Linked DNA regions of Arabidopsis thaliana. The protein of the gene in region 1 interacts with the protein of each later gene in a pairwise test. Each region holds a gene or a part of one and is shown in the gene's direction. Other genes may lie near its edges.

Evidence for each region.
Region 2: the proteins of AT5G07310 (region 1) and SCL21 interact in binary tests that used the Arabidopsis thaliana proteins (3 or more experiments, as listed by UniProt).
Region 3: the proteins of AT5G07310 (region 1) and PAT1 interact in binary tests that used the Arabidopsis thaliana proteins (3 or more experiments, as listed by UniProt).

What each region holds. Positions count from the first base shown.
Region 1 is NC_003076.8:2,303,606-2,307,338, forward strand, and holds AT5G07310 (Integrase-type DNA-binding superfamily protein), read left to right. Parts: upstream 1-1,945; 5' UTR 1,946-2,078; coding exon 2,079-2,331; intron 2,332-2,516; coding exon 2,517-3,055; 3' UTR 3,056-3,232; downstream 3,233-3,733.
Region 2 is NC_003071.7:1,719,859-1,724,207, reverse strand, and holds SCL21 (SCARECROW-like 21), read left to right. Parts: upstream 1-1,603; 5' UTR 1,604-1,617; coding exon of another isoform or gene 1,618-1,708; 5' UTR 1,709-1,927; intron 1,928-2,308; 5' UTR 2,309-2,391; coding exon 2,392-3,633; 3' UTR 3,634-3,847; downstream 3,848-4,349. Other genes in the region: AT2G04910 (Carbohydrate-binding X8 domain superfamily protein), read left to right, coding at 1-228; AT2G04900 (uncharacterized protein), read right to left, coding at 602-701, 1,175-1,218, 1,303-1,383, 1,468-1,538, 1,618-1,708; ZAP1 (zinc-dependent activator protein-1), read right to left, coding at 3,989-4,349. UniProt on the Arabidopsis thaliana protein: Probable transcription factor involved in plant development.
Region 3 is NC_003076.8:19,521,734-19,526,414, reverse strand, and holds PAT1 (GRAS family transcription factor), read left to right. Parts: upstream 1-1,626; 5' UTR 1,627-1,912; exon of another isoform or gene 1,913-2,026; 5' UTR 2,027-2,106; intron 2,107-2,331; 5' UTR 2,332-2,361; coding exon 2,362-3,383; intron 3,384-3,467; coding exon 3,468-3,918; 3' UTR 3,919-4,177; downstream 4,178-4,681. UniProt on the Arabidopsis thaliana protein: Probable transcription factor involved in phytochrome A (phyA) signal transduction.

The sequences.
Region 1 (3,733 bases):
AAAAAAATTTACATTATGTGACGTCGTTAAACTCATTTTCCCTGCTTGGCAAATTCACAAAATGTTGTTTCTTCGTTCTCGTCAACAAATCTGAAAATACCTACACATGCCATGTGTATATCCTGTTTTAAAGTTTAATTTTTTCATTTAAATTCAAATTCATTGACATGTCGTTGTAAGATACTCTCAACCTTTTTTCTATCAGATTGACTTTCTTATTAAAAAAGTCACTTTCTTTTCTCGTAATCTTAGCTATATAATGTCATTTTTGTATAATTTAGACGTAGAAAAGTTGGCTAATTTAATAGATCATAATAATATCAAATCATATTTATCCATAGTCAAATGAGTACGTTATACATCCTGAACAGCAATCCTGAACAGAAATTATTTTTTCGTCGTCCCGTCAAAACGTGTTATCCTACGTTTTATCAGATGCCATGCTATATGTTATGTTTTTATTTCAATGTATTTATAATCAAGTTTGAATATTACATATTTTTTACTTTAATAGTTAATACATTACAAAGAAACAAAAAAAGCATGTTGCTTGTTGTTGAGAAAGAATAACAAACAAACACATGTGTCATGTGTGCCACGTGCAAACATGACTAAAAAAAGACAACAGTTTCTCGATTGCAACTCTCTTGGTTTCTTTCCTACTTCCGTAATGAGAAAAAAAGCTCTGTCTATACCTAAAAAAAGTTATTTCTTAGAATATCAAAAGCTAGATTTTAGGAAATTAAATATTTGAGATCAACAAATATCGTTAGTTGTGAATTGCGACTTGTCAAGGGCCCATACAAAATGTTTTTTTTTTTGTGTGTGTGAGCATATCCTTATAATAATTTGTTTGTTTAATACCAAAATGGTGCTTTAAATGTTAATATATTACTGTAAACTTTCCCTAGATCCACTAATTTTTCTTTTTATCGTTTATTAAAAAACATTAATAGTAATCTAACCCGTTATCTATATATACATTTTAAGTGAGTATGAAAATTTACTCCAATTTTGATCTCCTGAATTGTGATAATCTTATCTCTTTTTTTCTTTCTAAAACTTGAATCTTGGACTTGGTGTTTGCATGTAAAAATGTTTTTTCATTACTCATTTAACTGAACTATTTCTAGATATAGATGAAATTAGAAATCCTCTTCGAATTATCTATCAAAAGTAGAAAGAGCCTCAATAACAACATTTCACACGTTTTTACTTGAGTTAGTGATCAATGTGTACACATTTCTCGAATATAACTAAATTTGTCTTTCAATCTCTATCCAAATATTTTATAGGGGAGAAAAGACCCCACTCTCGCGTAACGTAAACTCCTTTTCTATATCACAACATATATGTAAAACAATTTGATTATTTTCTTATTCCTTAACTTTTCCAGAGAATGTCGGTTTATAGTTATACACGAAGAATATCTATGTTTCTTTGTATTTAAATCAAACTTCCAAAAGAATATAATTATTTTTCTTTTCTCTTCTTCGATTCCATGCATGTTTTCTCAAAAAAGCAATTAAACAGAATATGTATATATGCATGCACTCCTTCTTTATTTTTTTCTTTTTGTCATCTTGGAGCTTTACATAGCGTTCATATTATTTTACATTCTTCTATTAGAGCTTTTCTACTAATCTTTATTGATATCCATTTCTTAACTTGTTCAGATTCACACGTACACATTTTTTGCAATAATCAAATCAAAAAGCTTTTTTCACGCGTCTCTACAGTTTTAGCAGGGTACACTGATATAGTACATGATTTTCTATATCGAAAATTACAATAGCTAGAAAAATATATAATTTTTTTAAAAATATGCAAAACTTCTGCTTGACGTTAAATTTTGTTTTGTCATTTGTCTTATGTTCACACAGACGAAAAAGCTTCTATAAAACCGTCAAAATAGCTCACCCCTAAAACCCTAATTATATATTCCCTCTTTCATTCTCCTTCTTCGTCTTTTCTTTGTTTCTCATATTCAAGACATCCTCAATTCCAAATCTTAAACCCTAAATTTACAGACACAATCGAGATCACCTGAAAAAAGAGGTTTAAAGATTTTAGCAAAGATGGCGAATTCAGGAAATTATGGAAAGAGGCCCTTTCGAGGCGATGAATCGGATGAAAAGAAAGAAGCCGATGATGATGAGAACATATTCCCTTTCTTCTCTGCCCGATCCCAATATGACATGCGTGCCATGGTCTCAGCCTTGACTCAAGTCATTGGAAACCAAAGCAGCTCTCATGATAATAACCAACATCAACCTGTTGTGTATAATCAACAAGATCCTAACCCACCGGCTCCTCCAACTCAAGATCAAGGTATATTTACATATATAGTTGACAAATTAGTTACCATATTTATGGGATGATATATGTGAATGAAAAAATGAGCATAATGTTTTATAATAGCAGTTGAATTTGTGCTCTGGACGACGAATATATCCATGTAGTATATATGAGAAATATATCAAGTATATATACGAATGTTTTCTCTTGTTGATTAGGGCTATTGAGGAAGAGGCACTATAGAGGGGTAAGACAACGACCATGGGGAAAGTGGGCAGCTGAAATTCGGGATCCGCAAAAGGCAGCACGGGTGTGGCTCGGGACATTTGAGACTGCTGAAGCTGCGGCTTTAGCTTATGATAACGCAGCTCTTAAGTTCAAAGGAAGCAAAGCCAAACTCAATTTCCCTGAGAGAGCTCAACTAGCAAGTAACACTAGTACAACTACCGGTCCACCAAACTATTATTCTTCTAATAATCAAATTTACTACTCAAATCCGCAGACTAATCCGCAAACCATACCTTATTTTAACCAATACTACTATAACCAATATCTTCATCAAGGGGGGAATAGTAACGATGCATTAAGTTATAGCTTGGCCGGTGGAGAAACCGGAGGCTCAATGTATAATCATCAGACGTTATCTACTACAAATTCTTCATCTTCTGGTGGATCTTCAAGGCAACAAGATGATGAACAAGATTACGCCAGATATTTGCGTTTTGGGGATTCTTCACCTCCTAATTCTGGTTTTTGAGATCTTCAATAAACTGATAATAAAGGATTTGGGTCACTTGTTATGAGGGGATCATATGTTTTCTAATTGAGTTTTTTTTTGTATTTGTATTTTTCATTATGCGTGTGTTTTTGTTTGTGATCACTTTGTTTACTTCTTTCAAGAGTTTTTCATGGGTTCTTTGTTTGTAACCCTTGCATTTGGATTTGTTTTAAGTTTTTTTTTTTTTTTTTTTTTTTTTTTGGGTGGGGTAATTCGTTTTGTATTAAAGAAGAAATTATAAATACACAAGAGTGTTACCCTTTAAATTTATTGGAGTTCCCCCAAACAAACACACATGTAGACACATAAAATTATAGCATTAATAACTGCTAAATTCCGAATTGCGTTGTTATGTGGCCATTATATTGCCAACGCAGATATAACAAACCAAAGCTTTTTATTTATTGAATGAAAATACATTTTCTACCGTGTATCTTACAAGACATAAGGCAAAGTAGCATACCTACATGACAGTACTAATAACATCTGTTGAGAGTCGTTTAGTTTTAATATTTTTCGTCCCGTTTTCTTGGACTAAGATGACAGCCTTGATTTAAGTAATTATATATCAAGTTTATACATACACAATTTCCTTTCCAATTTTATTGGACTGTTTTGGGGGATCTCTTCAGTCAGTTTGAATTCAAAAAATTACTA
Region 2 (4,349 bases), on another chromosome or scaffold:
CCTTGCTTCTTGCCCAACACTGTCAAGGACCATGCCTCTGTTGTCTTCAATAACTATTACCAGCGTTATAAGCGCAACGGCGGTTCCTGTAACTTCAACAGCACTGCATTTATCACACAAACCGACCCTAGTAAGCAACTTTATCTAAACCCTTTTTGTTACAGTTATTTAAGCTCTTTGATCAATCAAAATCTTGAACCATCTGTTTCTGATTATCTCATGATTTGATAGGTCACGATTCGTGCCATTTTGAGTATGTGCCATTTTGAGTATGTCCAATGATTCAAAGGAAAGACCAAGATGAAATGAAAGATGATGAATTATACTACCGGTGAACAATATAAACAAATCTTTGTTGGAACTTGGAAGTTCTTGTAATGTAGAATTTTGATAAATTGTATGGTAATAAGATTACATTAATATGGTCGTCATTTACATAATCCCTTTAGCAACAAACTGAACAAGTAAAGGAAGATGCTTAATGGTTGTCGACACAGAATTGTTATTAAGCAATCTCTTAGGTAAACAAAAAAAAACAGTGAGTTCATATGTAGGATAAGCTTGACCACAAACTTGACAATATAGATGGTTATGAGATTGTTTAGAAAAGTAAAGTTGCCCATGCAGCAATGAACGCAAAGCCTCCGAATGGTGCCAATGTCGAAAACTTTCTGTCCTCCCGCAGCGCTACCATATAACACCTGCAACAACATTTCAACACACATGAAACTTCTCACATACTCATACCCGGAAATAGACTATTGAACACAAAACTAAAGTTATCTACTAAGCATCTAAAATATAGTTACTTCTCCAAAGAGCATACCTTCACATATCAAAGGAAGTACAAAGGGGACAAATACCATTCATTAACTCAAATACAAAGACCTATGCTATTAAATAAGTGATACAATGGTTTCCAAATGCTTCAGAGTTGGACACATGTCGAAATCGATAAAATCTCCCTAGCCACGAAGAATTGTGGCAAGTATTGCTACTGCTAGAGATTAGATATGAATTCTAGAAAGTCCAAATCATATCTAAATAGCTCAAATATCCATGAATGCACTACTATAACCTCAATGACAAGACATCCAACAAACATCTAGCACAAAAGCTCTACCATACACATCTCAAACTGAAGAATCTGAGAAACAAAAAGATAACAACTTACGTGCCGGAAAAGGCTACAATTCCAGCAGTCAACAAGCCACCAAACTAAGCAAGAAAAAGATATGTCAGCTCCATCAACTCTCAAAGGACAAAGATTAGAGAAACAGAGTACAAGAAGAGAAAGCTAACAATGTTGGGATATTTGGTGCTAGGAGCAGAAACAAGAGCAGCAGTGTGAACCAAATGGTAAAGTGAAGCCGTTTGCCACACCTGAACAACAACAAAAAAACCTAAACTTTCTCACAGAAATCCAACAAAGTATCGAATTTTCCAACAATTTTCAAGAATCTAAACCTGTTTGTAAGAAGGGTTCTCTGGTTTAAAGACATGAGCACCATAAGTTCCCAAACCAAGAGCAGCCATACCTAAACCAATTCTATCCGAATCAGTACCTTTCCTCACAAGATCAAAATCAAAAGATCATTACTTTATCTTAAATCTCACCGGAAATAGCGGCGACTTTGTGCCACATCCGAGGATCCATCGATCGTCGTCCTCTGATGTCTCTTAGATTGCTTCTTACACTATTTCCCATTTGACCAGAGACTTTAAGCGAGATGTGTCAAGTCGGTGATCGGGTCTTATTCGGTTTAAGCCTAAAACGACGTCGTATGTGATGTGTTATTTTCTTCACTACAGCAACTAAAAAGATTCTTCCTTTTGCTTCAGCTGCGAGCTTTGGTTGGATCTCTCACTTGCAAAACCAAATCCCTTATCGACTTCCACCGAAAGATCACTTCTTAACCTACACAAGGTTTGTTTTTCTCATAAAAATCAAACCTTTATTCTCTTTTCTTGATGATTTTGATGCTCTGCTTCTTCTTATCCACAAAACATGAAAACATTTCTTCTTTGATAAGTTTGATGTTGGTTTGTTGTAAATGATTGCTCTTTCTAGCAAGCTTTACTCTAAAGTGTGAAGAGAAATTGTCAAATTAGTTTGTTTAGGATTGGAACTCTTGTATGCCTTGTTTATTGATGAAGTAGTTCATGGCTGACGTAGATTCATAGAGTCATGAGTTGATTTCAATGATACTAGAGTTCTTGTTAGAGTTTTGATCTCCATGGATATTATTGTTCAATATTGATATCTAATTCAGTCTCTGATTAATGACTTTGTCTATGAATTCTACAGGTGTTTGTTATGAAGATCAGATAAATAAAAGGTCATTTGAGGATAATGGTTGATGTTCAAAGATTCTTACTTGCTTATTTGTGATGGACAATGTAAGAGGTTCAATAATGTTGCAGCCACTGCCAGAGATAGCTGAGAGTATCGATGATGCTATCTGCCATGAACTCTCCATGTGGCCTGATGATGCTAAAGATTTGTTATTGATAGTGGAGGCAATATCAAGGGGAGACTTGAAGTTGGTACTTGTTGCTTGTGCAAAAGCTGTTTCTGAGAATAATCTTCTAATGGCACGATGGTGTATGGGTGAGTTGCGCGGTATGGTTTCGATTTCTGGTGAGCCAATCCAGAGATTGGGAGCTTATATGTTAGAAGGGCTTGTTGCTAGGCTTGCTGCTTCTGGTAGTTCGATATATAAGTCTCTCCAGTCCAGAGAACCAGAGAGTTATGAATTTTTATCTTATGTGTATGTTCTGCATGAGGTTTGTCCATATTTCAAGTTTGGATACATGTCAGCGAATGGTGCGATTGCAGAAGCAATGAAGGATGAAGAGAGGATTCACATTATTGACTTCCAAATTGGACAAGGGAGCCAGTGGATAGCACTTATCCAGGCTTTTGCAGCTAGGCCTGGTGGGGCTCCAAATATTCGAATTACCGGAGTTGGTGATGGATCTGTCTTGGTTACAGTCAAGAAGAGACTAGAGAAACTTGCAAAGAAGTTTGATGTTCCATTCAGGTTCAATGCGGTTTCAAGGCCAAGTTGTGAAGTTGAAGTGGAAAATCTTGATGTCCGAGATGGCGAAGCCCTTGGAGTGAACTTTGCTTACATGCTGCATCATTTGCCAGATGAGAGTGTAAGCATGGAAAACCACAGGGACCGGTTGCTGAGGATGGTGAAGAGTCTATCACCTAAAGTAGTCACTCTTGTGGAACAAGAATGCAACACGAACACTTCCCCTTTCCTTCCTAGGTTCCTTGAGACATTAAGTTATTACACGGCAATGTTCGAATCTATCGATGTTATGCTTCCGAGAAATCACAAGGAAAGGATCAATATCGAGCAGCACTGCATGGCAAGGGATGTCGTCAACATCATAGCTTGTGAAGGAGCCGAGAGGATCGAAAGACACGAGCTTCTCGGGAAATGGAAGTCAAGGTTTTCCATGGCGGGTTTTGAGCCATACCCCTTGAGCTCAATCATTTCAGCCACCATTAGAGCCCTCTTGAGAGATTACAGCAACGGGTATGCGATTGAAGAAAGAGATGGTGCTCTGTACCTTGGTTGGATGGACCGAATCTTGGTCTCATCTTGTGCATGGAAGTGAAAGAATAAACGTCTCCAAGAATGTAATGCAAAAGACAGAACTGGAAGTAATAGATAGTTTTGTCTCATAACCATTAATAAGGTTGAATCAAATCATATACATCCCCATGCTACAACTATTACACAGGCTCCATCAACAAAGAAGGGCTCTTGTTGTGTTACCTTCTCTTCCTGTAACTCTTATTTGAACCAAATGGAAGTGGTTACATAAAGGTATTAAAGCATACTATTCCATTAAACACTAATCTAAATCTGGTCCCGCCTGAACAACAACTGTACAGTCTATAACCATATCGCCTGTACTAATCTATGTTAAAACAGCCATATAAATTACCACTCGGTACAACACTGAATGCTTAGCTTTGGGCAGGCTCTGTCTTGGGTTTTTGTTCCTCGCTCTCCAGGGTTCCTACTGCCTTCTCTTGACAAACAGTGGTTTTATCATCTGACTTTGCTTCCGGCTTGGCGTGATTGGCTGCGTGATCTTTGTTTGCATCTGATCTCTCTTTTATTTCCTCCTTCAGCTTCTCATCCAAAACTGGACCTTGATCAAGACTTTTCTCAAAGCCATTAGTCTTCGTTTTCTTTCTTAAGTGATCTTCGACATGCTGGTCTTTTGTAATGGATTGAAGAGTTGAGCTCTGTGGAGTCTTGTTGGCATCTCCTTCTTTATCATCAACTTCCGAGTCCAGCATGTTATTATGAGTAACAACTCTT
Region 3 (4,681 bases), about 17 Mb from region 1:
CATACTTTTTGATTATATTTTATTTTTATATTGAACAGTTTCTCAATGAAAAACCATTGATGGAGATGGTGTAAGATATGCATTACTTAAAAAAAAAGGTTGATGATGATATCTCAGAAATATTCTGCATTTCTATCACCAAAGAAGATCTGTAGTTGGAGATGATGAGAGTTTAGCCATGATGAGAAAAATGGGAAAAGAATTAGCATTAGATTTTCTATATATATAGTTTACAAGTCCCATGTACATACATACACACATTTACATACATGGTACATGGGACGTCACTCATTGTATGAAGTTTTAAAAAACGACAAATAGACAGATTTAGAGAATCATTTATATATGTTTTTAAAACACATTACCCCTCTACATTTTTATTTTTGTTAAACGTGAGATATCTCCACCATATTATAATGGAAAGGGTTGTCAAAAAGAATAATGATACAAAAAAGAACGGCAAAGGGGGGTTGGGTTGTGGGGTCATAGTGACACAACATTCACTTACAAAAGAGAGTAAATTTTATTTTTATTATTTTAACTGCTTTGCAAGATTTAGTTAACACCTTTTTAGTTTGGAATCTGGATTTTCTTATTAACTTTTTTTTAATTATATGTAAAATTCTGAACCAAAACTCGTACATCTCAACGTATCAAATTAGTATGACTTATGACACAATCTTTTGGATGGATCCTAGGCTCAATCACTATATCATAAGCTTTTGGTTATCAAAAGTATTTTAGCTTCAGATTTATTATTGTACTATAAGAACTATCACAAGTTATTTGAAGTTCAAGATACAATCCATGGCAGTTTAAATTTGACCATTTGTTTTATAGATTTTTTGCTTTTTTTTCCTTTGAAACGATCCAAATGTTTCCAAAACTATGGATAAAATAGGTATGTTCGATGATTAAAATGGTATAGTAAAATTAGAAAGAAAACAAAAACTGACATTTTATCATAAGAAATAAGTTTCTGTTTTCGTTATTTTCTACAAAATCAAATTACTTCGTAATTTCCACAGTCGTGTGGCATGAAATCACATCATTTGAATTCAGCATTGTAGTCTTCGTTCTCTACCCGGTCAACATTCTTTGACTTTGATTTTCTTTGGTGTTCCTTCTTGTCTTCCTATATCTACTAAAAGCCAATTAGTTTTCTTTTCCGTGTATTTATATATAATTTTCTAAATGCATTATATTAAAACTGAATTATTTGATTAGAAGTTTACGACAAAAAAGAACATTTACTCAAATAATTGGTGGCTTTGTGTTGTTAATATTTATGCAAATTTTGTTTTTGGTGACAAAAAAAAGCTAATTAAATTACTCTGTACTATAAACTTAAGTTATGGTAAACCAGTGGCTCTGGTTTGATTATGTTTAGGGTAAAAAAATCAATTATTCTCGTATGTTTTAGGAATTAATTTGCACTTACAATTTGACAATTTTATAGACGATTTTAGTGATTAAAAAAACCTGAATTTATATGCATTTCGGGAATGTTTCGGTTTTGACCTAGAATTTTCCGATTAACAAAAAAAAATCTTTTTAATACTTTAATCTTAAACTAAGATTAGAGATAGTGAAAGTTGAAAACTAGATTGAGACAAATAATGAATCGGGGACATGTATCTAATATAATTGGAGGCTCAATAAATCATCAAATGATGTGGTGGTGGGAGCGACATGTTTGAGTGGTATAATCGTAAATCACACGCCGGTTTAAGATTCTGTTTCTTTTTTTTTTTTCTCTGTGATAAGAGTGAGACTTCTGTTTTGTCTTTCGAGCCATTCCCATGTGCCTTGTCTCCGACAACTTTCTCTCTTCCCTTCTCTCTTCCTCTGGTTCACATGGAACTTCAATAACATTCACTACTTTAAGGTTTCTCATCTCCGAAAAAGTCAGGTGGGTACTACTAAATTTGGATTTTCGTTCACTTAGAACAGTTCTGTTTGATCTTTGATTCCTCAAGTTATAACTTTTGTTTTTCTTTTATATCTTATGACATGATAATATTAGGTCTTAAATCATCCTCTTCTTTTGATCCTGTTGGAAAATTCTTTGATTTGGTGGTTATGTTGCTTAGATAACCTAAAAAGGTATGAATTTGTAGCTTTGTTGGATTCTTAATCTCTGTTTTTATCAATAGATTTGATTAATATATGTCTAATTATGTGGTTATTTGCATTAGAATTGTGTTATGTATAGACGAATATAACTTGAGGTTATGTTGATCTAAGTTACAAAAATAATTCAGGGTAATTTAGAGCTTCTCTAGGATGGTTTAAGATGAGTCTTTAAGTCTGATTTTTTTATACTTGCAGTTATTGTGCAGATCATTGAAGTGACTAGAAATGTACAAGCAGCCTAGACAAGAGCTTGAGGCTTATTATTTTGAGCCTAACTCTGTTGAGAAGCTTAGGTACTTACCGGTTAACAACTCTCGTAAACGGTTTTGTACGCTCGAGCCATTTCCTGACTCTCCTCCTTATAATGCTCTATCTACTGCTACATATGATGATACATGTGGCTCTTGTGTAACGGATGAGTTGAATGACTTCAAACACAAGATTAGGGAAATCGAAACGGTGATGATGGGGCCGGACTCGTTGGACTTACTTGTCGATTGCACGGACTCATTTGATTCCACGGCGAGTCAAGAGATTAATGGTTGGAGATCAACTCTAGAGGCTATCTCGAGGCGGGATTTAAGAGCTGATCTTGTTTCATGTGCCAAAGCTATGTCGGAAAATGATCTTATGATGGCTCATTCAATGATGGAGAAGTTGCGGCAGATGGTTTCGGTTTCTGGTGAGCCTATTCAACGGTTGGGAGCTTACTTATTGGAAGGTCTAGTGGCGCAGCTAGCTTCGTCGGGCAGTTCTATATACAAAGCACTTAATAGGTGTCCTGAACCGGCTAGCACAGAGCTTCTCTCTTACATGCACATTCTCTATGAGGTTTGTCCTTACTTCAAGTTTGGATACATGTCAGCAAATGGTGCTATTGCTGAGGCAATGAAGGAAGAAAACAGAGTTCACATTATTGATTTCCAAATCGGTCAAGGGAGTCAATGGGTCACTCTTATCCAGGCTTTTGCAGCTAGGCCTGGTGGGCCTCCGCGGATTCGGATAACGGGTATCGATGATATGACTTCAGCGTATGCTCGTGGAGGTGGCCTAAGCATTGTTGGAAATAGACTCGCTAAGCTTGCTAAGCAGTTCAACGTTCCATTCGAGTTTAACTCGGTATCGGTGTCAGTTTCCGAGGTTAAACCTAAAAACCTCGGGGTTCGACCTGGGGAAGCTCTAGCCGTAAACTTTGCCTTTGTGCTTCATCATATGCCAGACGAAAGCGTGAGCACCGAGAATCACCGGTATAGTTTTTATTATTAAAATTTGTTTACACGTAGGATGAGTCTTTTGTTTAGTCCTTTGACTAAGTTGAATATAATTTGCAGCGACCGGTTATTGAGAATGGTGAAGAGCTTATCTCCCAAGGTGGTGACTCTTGTGGAACAAGAGTCAAACACAAACACAGCCGCTTTCTTCCCGAGGTTCATGGAGACAATGAACTACTATGCCGCGATGTTTGAGTCAATTGATGTGACTCTACCAAGAGATCACAAACAGAGGATTAATGTGGAGCAACATTGTCTAGCAAGAGATGTCGTGAACATCATCGCATGTGAAGGAGCTGATCGGGTGGAGCGACACGAGCTCCTAGGAAAATGGAGGTCACGGTTTGGGATGGCGGGTTTCACTCCTTACCCGTTGAGTCCCTTGGTGAATTCAACCATTAAAAGTCTGCTTAGGAACTACTCAGACAAGTACAGGCTAGAAGAAAGAGATGGAGCTTTGTATCTTGGTTGGATGCATCGAGATTTGGTTGCCTCGTGTGCTTGGAAATGAGACAGTGACATTTCTCTAGTGTGATGGCAATTAATGTGTTTCTACTTGTATGCAATTTAGTCGCTCATTTGAATCTTCAAAACATTTGAAGAATCTTATGTTTACTACTAGAGACCAAGAGTGTGCACAATTGCTCAAATGTCAAAGTCAACTCTTTCCTCAATCAAAATTTAAGTATGTAGTTCACACGAATGGATCTTTGTAATAATGTAATATATGAAATCAATCTAGTTTCAATAAAATTACAAAATAGTCTTTTCATACTTTTGTGACATCGCAGCGACTTCAATAATTTTGAGAGAGAACACGTGTAAATGTCTCTTTCGCAGTGTGTCTGAATTTAATTTGACACCTACTTTTAATCTTTTATATATCATCATTAATAATAATCTTCGACATATATTGATTAGAGGGAGTGAAACCAATAACCCTACGCGACTAAAGAAAAGCATATATGAACACAACAATGGTTTCTTATGAGAAATATTAAATTCTTATAAGAAAAGGACTACGTATTGAACTATACATACGAACTAGACCTAAAATTTCTTCATTAACATAATCAAAAATATAAAATATATTCTTAGAATATAATTTAAATTTTGTAAAAATGTTGTTTGTTGAATATAATTTTACATTCAATTCAAAAAGAAAAAGAAAAAGAAAAAATCTTCAAAATTTTTATTTTTTAATTTTCTTATAATTGAATCCTTACCAATTATGTAATTTTGGTTACTCATTGCGATCATTCCATATTGGTCGA